Linked DNA regions of Drosophila melanogaster. The protein of the gene in region 1 interacts with the protein of each later gene in a pairwise test. Each region holds a gene or a part of one and is shown in the gene's direction. Other genes may lie near its edges.

Region 1 (7,493 bases):
TAGCTATCCTATTGCAAAACACGAGAAAAGCCAAGTAGATCATGCGGGGCATCTGCTAATGTTTGTATGATAAATGTGAAACTATGGAAATTATTTTATCTGTTTTAGCCGTAAGTTTTACGATAACTAAAGATTAACCACTGTATATGAATGTACTACTTACTATCGAGTGGATTATGAAATAATAAAAAAAAACTTCCTGTAAGGGCTCGCATATCATTTATATGGCAAAGAATCCATCCTCTCGCAGATATTGCTCCTCGTTTTGAGGCTACAAGAGGAACCTCTCGTCGATGAGGGTCTTGCGGGAGATGTTCCTTCGCACCCAATGGCGGAACACTTGGCGTAGTAACTGAAATGGATTATTTTTTAATTATTTTGTTAATCAGTTTTGAATCATTATCCTACTATGTTTAGGGCACAAGCGCCAGCAGCTGCAATTAACAAATTAGAGGTCATCAAGAAGATCGACAGCACCAAGAGGAGTTCCAGGACAAAGATGTGCAAATGGTTACCCAAGAGGAGAACGCGAGAGAAGCTGAACGAGTCGTCTATGTAAAAGGTACCTCTGTCTGAAAATTTAAATGGATTTAATACATAAAAGAGAAACTTCGAATTGGGTACTCACTTTCCGTGATGTAGTTGTCTATTTCGCAGTTCAGCAATTGTTCCACAAACGACTTTTCCTTAATAATGTAATCCATGTCCTTGATAGCCTGTCACAAATATAAAAAGAGAACATTCCATCTTAGAATAAAACTGAGCTTACAAACAGCAAAAAGAGTTGAGATTTATTAGTTACTAGGTATTCTAGACTGTAGCTCTTAATAATGCTAGAATCTGTAAGCTTAGTCTTTCGATTTTTTAGATCCTCAGATCTCAGATCTTATACGGGCAAACTGACGGATTCGGCTTGATCGACTAGGCCATATTAACTGGTTACATACTTCAATGGATCAATTAAGGTAGACTTTAAGCTTACATGGTCGATAAAGGCGCAGAAGAAGCGATTGACGCTGGCGTACGCAATGGAGGTACGTTCCATCTGTCCATCGATGCTCGGAACGATGTCCTTTTGGTAGAGCATGGTCTGCGAAAGGGTGCCGGTCAGACTGCGCTGAAAGGGAAGCAGGAGTCGCTCCAGGTAGATGCTATAGTAAAAACACTATGATAATCAATATCCTCATTGGAGTAAAGTCAAAATCTTACTGAAGGTTTCTGGGAGGCAGGATGACGTACGCCTGCTTGTCCGAGTCCATTAGCAATCCTCGTCGCCCACACATGGTCTGGGTTCTCTGCAGCTGCAAAATCATCGAGGACATATCCGTATCGGCAAAGCCGTGCGGAGATCGTCCGTGGATGTAGTAACCAAATCCTGGCTCCGTCAGTGAGAACAGAGAGATGTTGGCCAGACTGCACAGGTCGATGAACTTCTGGAGGGGATTGGCTATAAACAGTTGGTGGCCTATTATCTGAAGTAGATATGTGAGCAGATAAGCTGCCGCTATAAGGCAGCAACGTAGAAAAATGTCACCCTTGGTAAACCTCTCCAGAAACTGATAGCCAGCGATGACCACAAATACCTGACCCAAGGTGGAGTACTTCTGGGTGACACTTAGGCGAATCCAGGCATTGGCCGTGAAGAGAACTCGCCAGGCGGAGACGCTGCTCTCGGCCACAAAGGTGCGCACGCTAGAGCAGAGAGATGAGCTGTCCAGATTCAGGCGTTGTCCTTCGCAGCTGCTCCGCGGTCTTTCCCAGTCGATGAGAAACAGTTCCAGCTGGCTGGAGCGCCACAGGTGGATGCCCAGAAAGAGGAACTGCAGCACAAAGGCGGTATTGAGTAGGATTTTCAGTAGGCGAGAATTGGAGGCTTGCAGCAGTAGGAGCAGCAGAGTAGTCGCCAGCAGAGCATATGCCACATTTCCGGCCAGCTGCAGGAGAAATTCCATAAGACTGCTCATCTGACAGAGGTCCGCCTTCCGCCTTCTTCTCAAATTCTGGAGACGGAAGACAGCAGCTGCAAAGGCCAGCAAAAGGAGCAGCGGCAGCGCCACCTCCAAGATCAACCAATCCCAACCACGTTTTACTTGGTCGTAGCTAATCCTCAGGGTGAATGGGTACAGTTGGGAGAGCGATATATTTCCCGATCCCATCTCTATGTGTCGGTATCGCAGGCGAATGAGCGGCAGACCCACTCTATCCGGCTGATCCTTGTCCAGCGTATAACGAATTTCGATGTCCTCCACATATCGTAAGGAGTAATATTGCTGCAGCTTGTGGGCATCCTCGTAGCGCGGCATGGTCTGGTGAAGATGACTATCCCGCGGCGAGGCGGAGATCAGCTGGAAACGTTTCACCAACTGCCACTCCTCCTGCTGGGGTCGCTGGACAGATGAAGAAATTACGGAACTGAGATTAAGTTCTATCTAATTGAGTACATCACACTCCTCACCTGGTTTTCCGGCGTCAGGGTCTCGATGAGTACAGGTAACTGGTGAAGCAAATACTGCCAGTTACTACTGAAGTTTAGAAACACGGTGAGAAACTCGGCGTTGTGCCGTTGGTTGGCCAGGTCAATGAGACGCTCTAGGGTCAGCTGACAAGATACCTCCGACTCCCTCTTGGGTAGAGCCACTCGGAGGCTAGGCGCCTTCTGTTGGCACATGTTCAGCATCTCCGGATGAAAGGCACCCCACCGTTTGAGTCCGCCATCTAGACCAAATGTGGTGCTAAAAAGGCGCAGCTCCTTGCGATCCGGCAGCTGAAGCGTCTTCGAAAGCAGCTCCTTGGTAGCCCGACCCTTCTTGTAGAACAGGAACGGCTGCAGGGATCGCACCTGTTCGCCGGAGTGGGCATACTTCATGACCACATCAGAGACCTGGGTAAGCAGGAAGGCGCTGCAGGGCGAGTGCTTTTCCAGGGAGAAATGGGAAAGCACGCACAGATTGGCCAGTTGCTGGCAGGCGGTATCGTTGCGCAGTGTCAGGCAAAAGAAGGCCACAAACTTGAGCTCACCAAAGCGGCTGGGTGCACTTGAATCCGGCGTGGTTGTCGCCTGCCAGAAGGCGTTGTAGTGCACATACGGTCGGAGCAGGGTGCTAGCCAAGCAGAAGTCCTGATACCGGAAATTGTGCGTCATATCGCAGGAATGGCAATCTCCCGCTCTGCTCATCGGATTTGTATGGGTCAGTATGATGCCGGAAATGAGTGGATGCACTGGCAACTGACTGGCGAAGGCTGCCGTGGAGTTCAGATACCGATAGCTGCACTGATTGGTAGGTCGAGGCTGGGGTAGCCACACCGAAGTGCAATTGTCGCTCCTGTCCGGAGTGCAAATCTCATCGCAGGTGGGCCACGTCTTGCCGCGCTCATAGATGGACAGATGACCAGCCGGGCACTTGCAGGTGAATTCTGGGTGGGCAATAAACAAGAAGCAGGTGAATTCTGGGTGGGCAATAAACAAGAAGCTTTTATTTCAGTAACATAGTAAAACTTTCTTCTAACCATACGAATGCATATCCTATATTCATAGATCTATCATATGATCAAGGATTGAAAATGTATATAAACTAATCTATTCATTTTGTCACAATTATCAATCATTTTAAGATATTATATATATAAAAACAGTATACAACTTTCAATTCAATTCAAAGCGAAACTAAAAAGTTTATCTTGTTTTTTTTTTGTATAAATACCCCTAAAACGAGTTTTAGTTTTCTTACACAACAATGTCCTTATTATCTGCACTATTTATACATATTTTAAATAACTGATTACAAATACTTTACTTATTAAATCAAACAACAGGAAATCGTTGAGGAAATCTATTAAGAATACCAATAGTTTAATTTATATTAGTTCGAAATATTAAAAATATATTAATATATTAATATTAAAAATTGTTTGATTATAGTATTTCCTCTTCGAGATCGTCAAAATAAAATTTGTGTGAAGTTTGCAAATTGTGCTAAGTGACAAATACTGATGTGAATAAATCTTAAGTATTCGAGGTCTGTGACCTATAAAAAATATATTAATCGCAAAAAGCCTTGTCGCTTTCAATGACAAAACCTTAAACCAATAAAATGTTTAAATAACCGAATATTAAATTTGGTATATACAATATTACAGCTCTTTTGCAGCTGAAAATGAATACTTTCTCTTGAGTAGCATGCAGGTCCTTGCCCCTTCACATGGCACCCCTTTTGGTTCTGTTTGATCAATACTACCACTCACTGTCGGGTTGCAGTTTTCCTTGAACCCCATCTCCGCCGGCGACCTCATTGCAGGGCACACAGTCGAATAGGTTGAGGTTGTAGAACTCGTTCTTGAGGCACTGCGTCGGATTCTGGAAGCGAAAAGTGTGCGGCGTTGGCAGCTGCGAGGGATTTGTGGCCGCGGTGGTCAGCGAGCAGATGGGCACTGGAATTTGTAAGGCGATCCAGAAAAGAGCACAACACCAGTTGATAGCCCGGGAGAAGCACCTCATCCTCATCCTCATCCTGTTCTGATTTTAGGAGTCGCTGCTCGCTCTTCAATATTCGAAAGGGTACTGAATTCCCTGGAGCGATTGCAGCTGCAATTTGGAAGTCGCCCAGGAAGGCAAGTAAACAAGTGGACTCGTGGAGGGAGTGGTGTTGCTATAGCTACCCAACCCCCCGATTTTCGCCGGGCACGCATGCAAAATGGCCATTATCCGGAGGGTTGGCTCAGGTGCTTACTCCCTCTCGGCCGAATGTCCTTTGACCAGGAGGCCACCTTAAGTGTAATGAGTCCTCGAGACTTTTTACCTGCTGGGTTTCCTTTCATATTCCAGCACTTGCGTGCTCAAAATTGTGATTGCCATCATTATTAGTTACTTTCTTAGGATTTTGCATACAATTTGTAGGTATGTAAATTAGCAAGGACTATTTTAGAAATTAAATCCTACGTAAAGGAATTATTTGTTGGGTTACTTAATTAATTATTCTCTCTAAAGAGACCATTTGTATAGTCAATTCTTTTGCACTTCTACGTTTTTAAATGGGTTTGAATGGTTTTTGCAAAAATTAAATTAGTAAGATAATAATAAATAAAAAATAAAAATAAATAATTCAGATTGTATAATAAGCTAAATCGCTTTTACAATTATTTTCCTATATTATTTATTTTTTCAATTCACTTCTAAAATATAACTTTTTTAATGTGGTAGCTATAGGATATAATATAATATAAGCTCATACTAATCATTATATTTGTATTTAAAAAACAAATAGATTTCAAGCACACTTTTTTATTAGCTTAAAAAAGAATATTTGGCAGTTAGATGCATTAGAATTTGAGCTCTGCGAAAGCTAAGACTATTGGCTGTACTAATCAAATCTTAAACAGTTGCAAAAAAATATCTATATGCCTTAAGTAAATTTTTAAGCGCATTAACAATGTTTATGTTTATGTTTATACGCCAACAAATGTTAAATTATTTGCTTATGTATATGAAAGTCGGGCATAAAGCTGTCTGTCGTTTTTAGAGCTTTTGGCCGCGACGTGCGACGGTCACACTGATGGCCTCCCCCACTTCTTCCTTGCAAGGACAACACAATTAGGCGGCGGACACATACAGTTTTTTTCCCCCGATCCGTGGCCGCCAGTTAGCCCAGTCTCGTCCCCCGACCGACGAGTGATTCCCGACAGCAACCGTTGGTCATTCGAATCCAGGATGCTGCACTGGCGCCGCACAGATTAGATATTCGCAGTCCCAGACGAAAATGAACAATTTGGTAAGTGGGCGGTGACGGCGGTGGCAGTGGAGGTAGCAGGGCTCGATTTCAAGCTCAGATCTTGGGTGTCTCTGTTTCCGATTGTGTGAACTAATCACTGCGATCCTTGCAGGAGCACTCCAAGCATTTCTATCCTGATAACTACAAATTGGATCTGTCTGAGACCATGAAGGCGGCTCTGTCCAAAGGACCCGGTGGTGGTGCCGGTGGCGGGGGCGTGGCAGGCGGAGATATGCTGCCGCAGCCAAATGCTGGAATGCCAGGAGTGGGCTATGTTACGGAAAAGCTGTACATGCTGCTGCAGCTGTATCTGCAGAACAAAGGCTGGAATCCCAGTGCTGAGCTGCTGCAGTGCTTCAGCGATCTCAAGGACAATGCCATGCTGCCCAGCGCCGCCTATCTGCAGTAAGTAGGGGTTGTGGGTTTTTTCAGATCCGTTCTCATAACTTCCTCGTTTGCAGAGTCCTGGCCAACCGCTTAACCCTGGACTCCCAGGGACGGCTAATACTGCGCGACAATGGAAAGATTGTCTTGCCCTTTGAGCATTTTGCCAATGCGGTCATGCTAAAGCACATGTCAGGTCCGCACGGCCTGCACCTTAGTGTCGATGCCACGGTGAGGGCAGTCATTGAGTCGTACACCATCGGTCGGGATCAGTTCGGCATGGAGAAAGAGTTCATCATCGAGGTGGTGCAGTCCTGCCCAAGTCCCGCATGTCGCTACTATAAAAACCACATGGGAATTTCGCCCATGCCGTTCATGGAGCAGCAGTATCCGGGCGTAAACACTCCCGAGTTCCTGCAGCGCTTGGCGCATCTGCCGCCTGGGGGAGCAGCCGGATCTGGGCCAGGAGGCTCCGCAGCCGGATCCACCTCCAGCGTGGCAAGCAGCTCGAGTTCGGCGAACGTGGAAATCGATCTGTCCAAGTCGACGGGCGCGAAGGTGCCCCAGGTGCCGGTGCCGCCGCAGTTGCAGCACCTGACCAAGCAGCAGCAGAGCACTCTCCAGACGCAGCTCTCCCAGATCAGTGCTGCCGCCGCTCATCATCAACAACAACAACAGCAGCAACAACAGCAACAGCAGCAGCAGCAGCAACAACAACAGCAAGCAGCAGCCAAGCACCAGCAGCAATTGACTGCTGCCCTCATCCAACAGCAAAACCGTGTCCTCGCCCAGCAAAATTTAGAGAAGCTTAGCAACCACCTCAGTCCGCTGGAAAAGCAGCGAGTTTTCGCCCAGCTGGATCCAAAGCACTTTGATCCCATGGCCGTTGCGGCTGCAGCCGCCAATCTTCAAATCCAAGGCCTGATGCAATCGCAGGCAGTGGCTGCCGCCGTCGCCGCCAATCAGCAGACTCCGGCGGCTACGACTACATCTGCTGCAGGAGGAGCTGCAGCCGGCCCGCAGGCCCATCACGGACACCATCCCTTGCCACCGCCATCGCAGTCGCCACACTCATCCTCTTCGTCTTCCTCTCATTCCTCGTTGGACCAGATTACCCACAAGAACGTCGCCGACTCCTTGCGGTGGGTGAGATTTATTAGATATTATTATTTTAAATTCTTTTTCTTGGCAAAACATGTGTACAAAGACTTATTTTTTTATTAAAACAAACAAAAAATATTGTATGTATTTGATAAGTAACGAATTAGGTTGTTTACAATATTATTTATTATTTGCTATATGTAAAGTAAATTGATCACTTTTAAATGTTTGCTTTAGGCCCTT
Region 2 (7,493 bases), on another chromosome or scaffold:
GGCCACAGGAACCTATCCCTCGCCCAAGGGCAGTGCATCAATGGTGGCGTGGCGGAACCAGCTGATACTCTTTGGCGGATGGCGATACCCCTCGCTACATCCGCCCTACCAACCATGGTGCTTATTTGACGAGCTGCACTACTACGATCTTGGAAAGAACCGTTGGCTGCTGCGAAGCTCCCTATCTTCCCCACCACCGATGGCTGGACACTCGGCCACGGTACATGGCGATCGGATGGTAGTTTTTGGTGGTTACCAGATCAAAGACGATTTCAATGTGAACTCGAACGACACATGGGTACTGGATCTGCCGGAGCAGCGCTGGTGGCAGCCGCTCTTTGTGGGCAACACGCGACCCAGTCCGCGATACGGACAAATACAGGTGGAGTTGGGAAGGAACCATCTGCTGATCGTGGGAGGATGTGGCGGTGCCAATCGCGTGTACACTGATGCCTGGCTGCTGGACATGACCAGGGATGTATGGAGCTGGAAGTCTATTGCTGTGCGCAACAAGCGCTTTGGAGCCGTCCACATGTGGTGCAATCCCGGTTGCAAGGTCAACAACTACCTGGTGGTCGTGGGCCCATCGCCCAACATGCCGCAGGACTTCCAAATGATGAAGCAAAGCAGAGTCCCCGTCGTTGGAGGCCGTGGACCTCCGCCGCCGAATCCTCTTCAAAATGTACCTCCAAGGGGATACCGGATACCAGTTCCGGATCGTCGACTAGGTGGAGGTGGATTGGGTGGACCTGGCCAAAATCGCGGAGGAAACATCCGTCCTGGAGTGGGAGGTGCAGCAGCTGCACTGGGTCCTCAAGAACAGTATTTGGCTAACCGGAGAGCAATTCTTAATCAACACATGCAGCAAGCGCAGCAATTCCTGCACAACAGCAATGTGAACAATAATAACAATAATTACCAACCGCGCTCGGGAAGATTGAGTGATCTGCATGCCCCGCCAGCTGCGGCTGCAGCTGCTTCTCCTCCATCCCCGCCAGTGCGACCAAATGCTCCGCCATCTCCCGCCGACGGCGATGTGGATGCCGCACAGCGTTTGCAAAGAAATTTAGCTCTAAGGTGTCGTGATAATGAACCTAGGCTACCAAAACGTTTCGATGAGCTCTATGAGGTGAGTGATTTTAAGTGCGCCTATCATGGACCTCTTATTTATTTCCTGTTTCAAAAGGATCCCTTTCGAATGGCCGCCTTCAATGTGCCCACACGATCGCGGAGTGCTTCGCGGGATCACAACGAGCGAATACGACGCATGGAGGAGAAGATGAACGCCATTCGCAATTCGCGACGCAGCGCACCGGCGGCCGCCCAAGTGGAACCACAACCGCTGCGCGCACCCTCGCCCAAACGATTGCGCTGCAATGTGCAATCCCTGTTCGTGTGTGACATCTCCGGCATTTTGGACAGCAGCGAACCCGCCCTCGAGTGGGTGGAATACAAAAACTTCGGAGTGCTTAAGGGTGCTCCGGATCGGCTAATCCTCTCGAGCCTCATTGCTGGCAACGGCGAGCTCATCCTCTTCGGGGGCGTGCACAAGGAGACACTAACGGACATCACACATCATGTGTCCAATTCCATACACTTCCTGAGTGTGCCACGTGATATTATCTAAGCTCTGAACCGACGCCCGTCCTAGTCCAACGTTACGCGGATAGCACTTTGTTGCTGGTAACCCCACTTCCCAAATCCTTCAAAGTTCGGCGTAAGAGGTTCATTTAGGCATTAAATTGAGTGTAATGAAGAATATGTTTTATGATTATAAACGATTATTTACTAGTGGATCTCCAACGATTGGCTTTAATTATTGCTTTCCAGCACTTTTATTAGGTCGTAAGCATGTTGGAAACGCATATCACAGAAGTCATCTTGGCATGCTACACACTGCTCCAGGAGCAGCTGCAGCTTTTCGTTGTCCAAATTCTTAAGCAAGTAATCCCTTAGCAAAAGGCACGCCTGGTAGATATTGGCATCCAGCTGATGGCCGGAGCAGAATGCAGAGACATCAAATGTGAATCCCTCGCCGGTCAGCGGCTCGTACTTTTCGGCATGTCCTGCTGCGAACGAAGCGTCCACCAGGACCACGGAGTCCAAATCAATGAGGTACACCTTCTTGGTGTCTTCGTCGTAAGCCAAATTATCGGCCGTGAAATCGGTTAAGATAATGCGAAAGTCCGCGAATCCAAAAGTCAGCTTGAGGGAGAGCTGGATCAACTGGAGAGCCAGCTCCACACGCAAACCTTCTTCAGCATCGACGTAATGAGCTAAAGTACGTCCTGCATTGGATTGAAAATGTGTTAGTCCGCAGGAGGCGTAGGTGGTAGGCACTGGAAATCCCTGCAGATGCAGTTCCTGCATAAGCAGCGGACTAACGTAGTACATCATGTAGAACCACACACTGGCGGCAGCATGTCCACGCTGCTCCAAGTACGAAACAAAGCGGGGTTCCCTTGCCAGAGTTCGGCAGAGATGAAAACCACCAGGTCGCTCCTCTAGTTCATAGAAATCTTTTTTCACATTTTTTATCTGATTACTCTGTGCATCAATGATTTTTCTTTTGGCCACCAGCTGGACTTCCTGATCCCGGTCTTTTAGCCTTAGAAAGTAAATCGCTCGGCGATCAACGAGCAACGAAATGGCTTTCACAAGTCTACTCCAATCCGAGGGCTCTGCAATTTTCTGGAAGATTTCCCCGCACGGCTCACTCTGTCCAACGAAACAGTCTGGACACAAGCGCAGATCCTTCTCGAAAAGTTCCTGGAACACCTCTCGCTGCGGCTTCACCTGCAGCTCCTGCAGCAGGGCCAAAATGAGCACCACTTTCAGTTGGCCGTGTGACAGGTGCATCACAGGGAGCTGCAAAGAGACGGAAGAGAAACGAATGAAGGGGCTTGCCAAACAACAGAAGAAGCCACACGTGTGTGTATCCAAAGAAATGTGCGTGAGGGCCCAGCCTCCAGTCCACTGGCCACATTACCTGTTTGGCAGCTACACGCCAAAAGTGAACCTAAGCACCGAGCCAAAGAGGCAGCTGGTTATGACCGCTTAACGAAGCGTCTATACCCTTTCGCTACATTTAGTTTAATTTGCTATTAAGCTGTATGTATTTTAAGTATGGAATTTCCCTTTTTACTAGTTCCTAAAAGCAATACCAAATGCTTCCATTTATTCTATTATATTTTTTAAGCACGTCTAAGTTATAGATCTTTAATTTAGTCATGATGACAGCTGATTAGATTATGATACCACTATCGCTTTTATCACACCAGCTTCTGGGCTCATGCCGAAATGGTTATCCCACAAGGTCCGAAGAGTATGGCGTCGGGGGGACGGACTTACAGAAATAACTTTGGTTCTGAAGAAGAGCCAATTCAATGGGTTCAAGGTTGGCCATCACGCTGGGAGCAAGAAGCGAATCAGACGCTTAATTTGTAATCTCTGCAGAGGTGGGAGAGTAGCCATTATGGCGATACCAGTCGCATCCTCCAAGACGCACTCCATCTCGCCTTGCCCTGTACTTCAAAATTAAGTGTGCCCAGAATGGACTTGCTCTGTGGCTCATTCTTTGGCGACGACGAGGAGCATAATGACTCGGCTAAAGATTCAGCACCATTGCCCACGACTTCGCCAGTGCCTCAGACTATCAAAAGAAAATCGCGTGTAAGATTTAGCCGCAGCACCATACGAAAACTCCAACTCAACGAACTGGAACAGTTGGGCTCCACAAACGCCTTTTTCAACTTCCTGCTCGCCCAGCGAATTCGGGAATTGGGCTTGGTCGGTCTCAACTACCTGGATGTGTTCAAGTCCCAGCGACTAATTTCGGGGAAACGCATCTGGAACTGCATGTATGAGTTGGCTGAAAGTGTTCGTCAGAACGATATTTAAACCTTTCGGGATAAGAGGAAACTCGATGAAATCGTCTACCAAATGTATTCGTGCGAAAAAAGACCGAAGATCGCTGAGAACGCACTGAGAGATTGGGAGACGCAGCAGAGGAGGAGAGACCTGAAATCGAAATCGCTTGGAGAACGTTTCCCCAAACCGAGTAAGATCAGTTGAAGGTGGCGCGTTGCGCTCGACGGTTGTCGCTATTCTGGTTCTCGCTCAAGTTATCCGAACTCTTGGAACAGCTGGGTAGTCTGGTCTGGCCTGGCGCATAAAGACGCGATATCGGTCAAGTTCAGACGAAGAAGACGACGACGCGGCGATCACTCAATTAGCCTCACCGTGAGGGCGCGTGAAATTCACTTTTAAATTTCCCCCAACTCGATTTTCACATACACAAATTGCTTTTGTTACGATTCTCGCGTGTGCTTGGTTGAAAAGGAATTTGTCACAGTGCCAAAAGGTGTGTGTGTTCTTCTTGGAAATGTCCACTTAGCTCGTAAACTATTCCAATGTTCTAAAAAGCCATAAATTAGCCCTAAGGTCGCACGTGAAACCTTCACCACCTGGGCTAGCCTAACTTTACGCAACTGAGAACAGAGCAGATCGCGATTTGAGGCGAGTCAACAAAGTGCGCAGCAGAAGTCCAGAATATTGATTGACTTTGCAATCAAATTTGCTCAGTTCGAAATTTTCAGAGTCAGGGAATTAGCACTCAGCTTATTTTCGGGCCACATATTGTTTGAAAGCAGCCCATATCCAAGTTCTACATGTGTGTATATATTATTGAGAGTTATTTTGCTTGTCAGTTAGCAGTAATTGGAGGAGGGCACATAAACCACCGTGCTAGCTACCCATAAATTACACATTAGATAACGCCGACATGTGCTCATCGCTGATTTCGAGGGCCCCCATATAAGTCGCGTTAGCCTGAGCCCCACTTGTCCAACTGAGATCTGTACAAACACTTTAAACCGGTTATATACATATAGTACCCGCTGGGAAAACAAATAGCAAACCCAAGCCGGCAATATATGAATAACCAAGCAACTAACCAACCAACCAGCTGGCTGGTAAACAGTCGCGTCGTAGTATTATTTTGGCTTATTGATAAACAAAAGCCTGTCAAGTGTGCGATCGCATATATATATATATATATACAAATGTGTTTATATATTTGCATTCTTGGCCATGACCAAGGAAATCTGATGCATGTCGCGTAAGTGATAATATACAAATCGAATTACGTCACGTTGACTGCAGGCACTCAAACCTCCTTGACTACATATTATTTTTCAAGGGGATTGCGTTATCGGACATTTAAACTTTTCGCTTTGTGGCACACGCCCTTTTAATTAATAGCCATAAAATAGCAAGCGAAATTGGAAGCGTGAAATTTGATTTTTTCTTAAGTGTTACGACTCTTTCAGTTATTTTTAGCTCGAACTAAAAAGAGTTACTAACTGAATAAACATTAAGAATTACCAAGAACGTATTAAACACAGCAAAGACCTGTTTTGGCCAAACATCTATTTTTTCATTTCAACCGAAATCACTAGTTTGCGCACTAACAAAACTTTAGCTATTTCTTTTGATTTTACATCTCGTATCGCTTTCTATTCGCCCGCGCCTGAATAGTTTCTATTATACTTCGAATGATTGATGGCCGCCTATGACACGGGCAAATTGGAAACAGGTTTTCGAATGGCTCATTAATATCTACCACCTTTCTCTGCCCCTTTCGCAGATGAGCATCTCGGCGGTGGATCGCAAAGAGCCGGGCAGTGTGAGCAGCGGTCTGGGTAGGCGATACGGGCAGCTGCTCCGTGGAGCCAAGTACACAGATTGCGTGTTCCACGTGTGCGAGGAGCAAGTGAAATGCCACAAGCTCATCCTGAGCTCCGCCAGTCCCGTTTTCGAGGCAATGTTCTTTGGTCCCATGCAAAACAACGAGCCCGAGCCGGAAATCGAAATCCACGACATAAGCTCTGCCATCTTCAAGGTGCTGGTGGAGTACATCTACACGGGCGTCGTTGACTACAATGGCCTGGAGCTGGTGGCCTGCATTGAGCTGTACTACGCCGCTGAGAAGTATCTGCTGGAGGAGCTGATCGCCGACACGCTGATGGTTATCACCCGCAAGCTGCGATTTGCCAATATCTTGCCCGCTCTAGAGCTAAGTGTTTGCATGGGCCTCGACGGGTTGCTGGAGGTCTGCATGACCTTTTTCATGCGATGCTGTGTTAATAATGGACAGTATATGAGCCACCTTAAGGAGCACTATGTGCACGTGTCCAAGGAGTGTGTGAAGGCCATAATAGCGGCGTGCAAGGAACCGCACAAGTTACTCATCTGGTATGTTTATGAGTGGACACGACAGGAGTGCGAGCAGTTGGGTCTGGGTCCCAGCGATGCCGACTTAGTAGTGCACGACTTGGGTGGCAAAACAAGCGACTGGCCTGCGGCTTCGGGTGCTAGTGATTTGGAATCACCTGCCCTAACTCCGGTGGTTTTGGTGGAGCGCTGCTATTACAAGGCCTGCAGGCCCTTTACAGTGGATGCAGAAACTCCGCTGTTTCGCTTGCGTCTAAAGTGCTCTAGATTTATCTCCTTGATGGGCTTGGTCCTGAACAGCAGGCTGACTCCCAACCTATTGGGTCACGTCCAGCAGCTGGAGTACCGCGAATCGCTGCGGCTGGACCTTTGCGAGGTGCCCGCTGAAAGCGAGGGTCCGGCCACGTCGCCCGTATGGAGTCACGTTGTCCAGAGCCAGAATACCAAGTACAACTGCAACCTGCATCTTGGCTGGCGACGCGAAGAGGCCTGTGTGCTGAATCCGGAGCTGACCTATGAGCTGCAGATCCGCTGGGACAGCAGTGCTTACGGCGCCGAGTATCCGTGCAGCCTGCAGTCCTGCCAGGCGGACGGAATTCGGTTCACTGACGAGGACAGCTTCAGCGGAAGTCTCGTCAAGGGACTGCGCTATGCCAACCTGGTGTAGCCACTTCAGCCGCGATATCATAATTAGTTAGTCCGTAAGACGTGTATGTATTTATTGCCCTAAGTTAATGTACGCTGCCTCAGAGTTCAATAAACTGTGAGTAATATCGCTTCAAACACAAGACGTCTGCTGATAAATATAAAAAGCCGGTTTGCAGCCGTTTTTGTTTGGCGAACGAATCGAACTCGATCGGGGAACGGCGTCCTGGCTGCGAATACGGAAACTTATCTCACCTGTTGTTGCGGCCACTAAAAAAAAAAAATCGGTAAAACAATAAACTATAATATAATCACCAGATGTAAACAAAGCGAAATTGAACGAGGGACAGTGTGGCCAACTGGTCATAATAATTCTTGCTTAAATTGGGGCGACCGTAAAATAATTAACAGTGAGAAACTGGCTATTATTTAATAACTTAATTTTTGTTTAAATGATTAATGATTTAAAGCTGCTGCGCTGTAAAAGCTTTATTTGCTGTTCAGAATTAAAATATTAATGAGCACTATCTTAAATCTAAACATAAAAACCAAACATTTTACAGTAACAATGGAATCAAAAATGCAGTGGAAAAGCGCTAAACACCCGCGAAACA

Evidence for each region.
Region 2: the proteins of CG5466 (region 1) and CG11275 interact in a two-hybrid assay, tested with the Drosophila melanogaster proteins (2 studies listed by BioGRID).

Annotation. Positions count from the first base shown.
Region 1 is NT_033777.3:20,612,338-20,619,830, forward strand, and holds the start of CG5466 (uncharacterized protein), read left to right. Parts: upstream 1-5,545; 5' UTR 5,546-5,753; coding exon 5,754-5,765; intron 5,766-5,877; coding exon 5,878-6,170; intron 6,171-6,226; coding exon 6,227-7,291; intron 7,292-7,493. Other genes in the region: CG15923 (uncharacterized protein), read right to left, coding at 272-352, 409-572, 629-716, 983-1,151, 1,210-2,387, 2,456-3,414, 4,243-4,507.
Region 2 is NT_033778.4:22,175,629-22,183,121, forward strand, and holds CG11275 (uncharacterized protein), read left to right. Parts: upstream 1-4,066; 5' UTR 4,067-4,363; intron 4,364-5,647; coding exon 5,648-6,901; 3' UTR 6,902-7,014; downstream 7,015-7,493. Other genes in the region: Fbxo42 (F-box protein 42), read left to right, coding at 1-1,129, 1,187-1,627; CG11170 (uncharacterized protein), read right to left, coding at 1,813-2,859.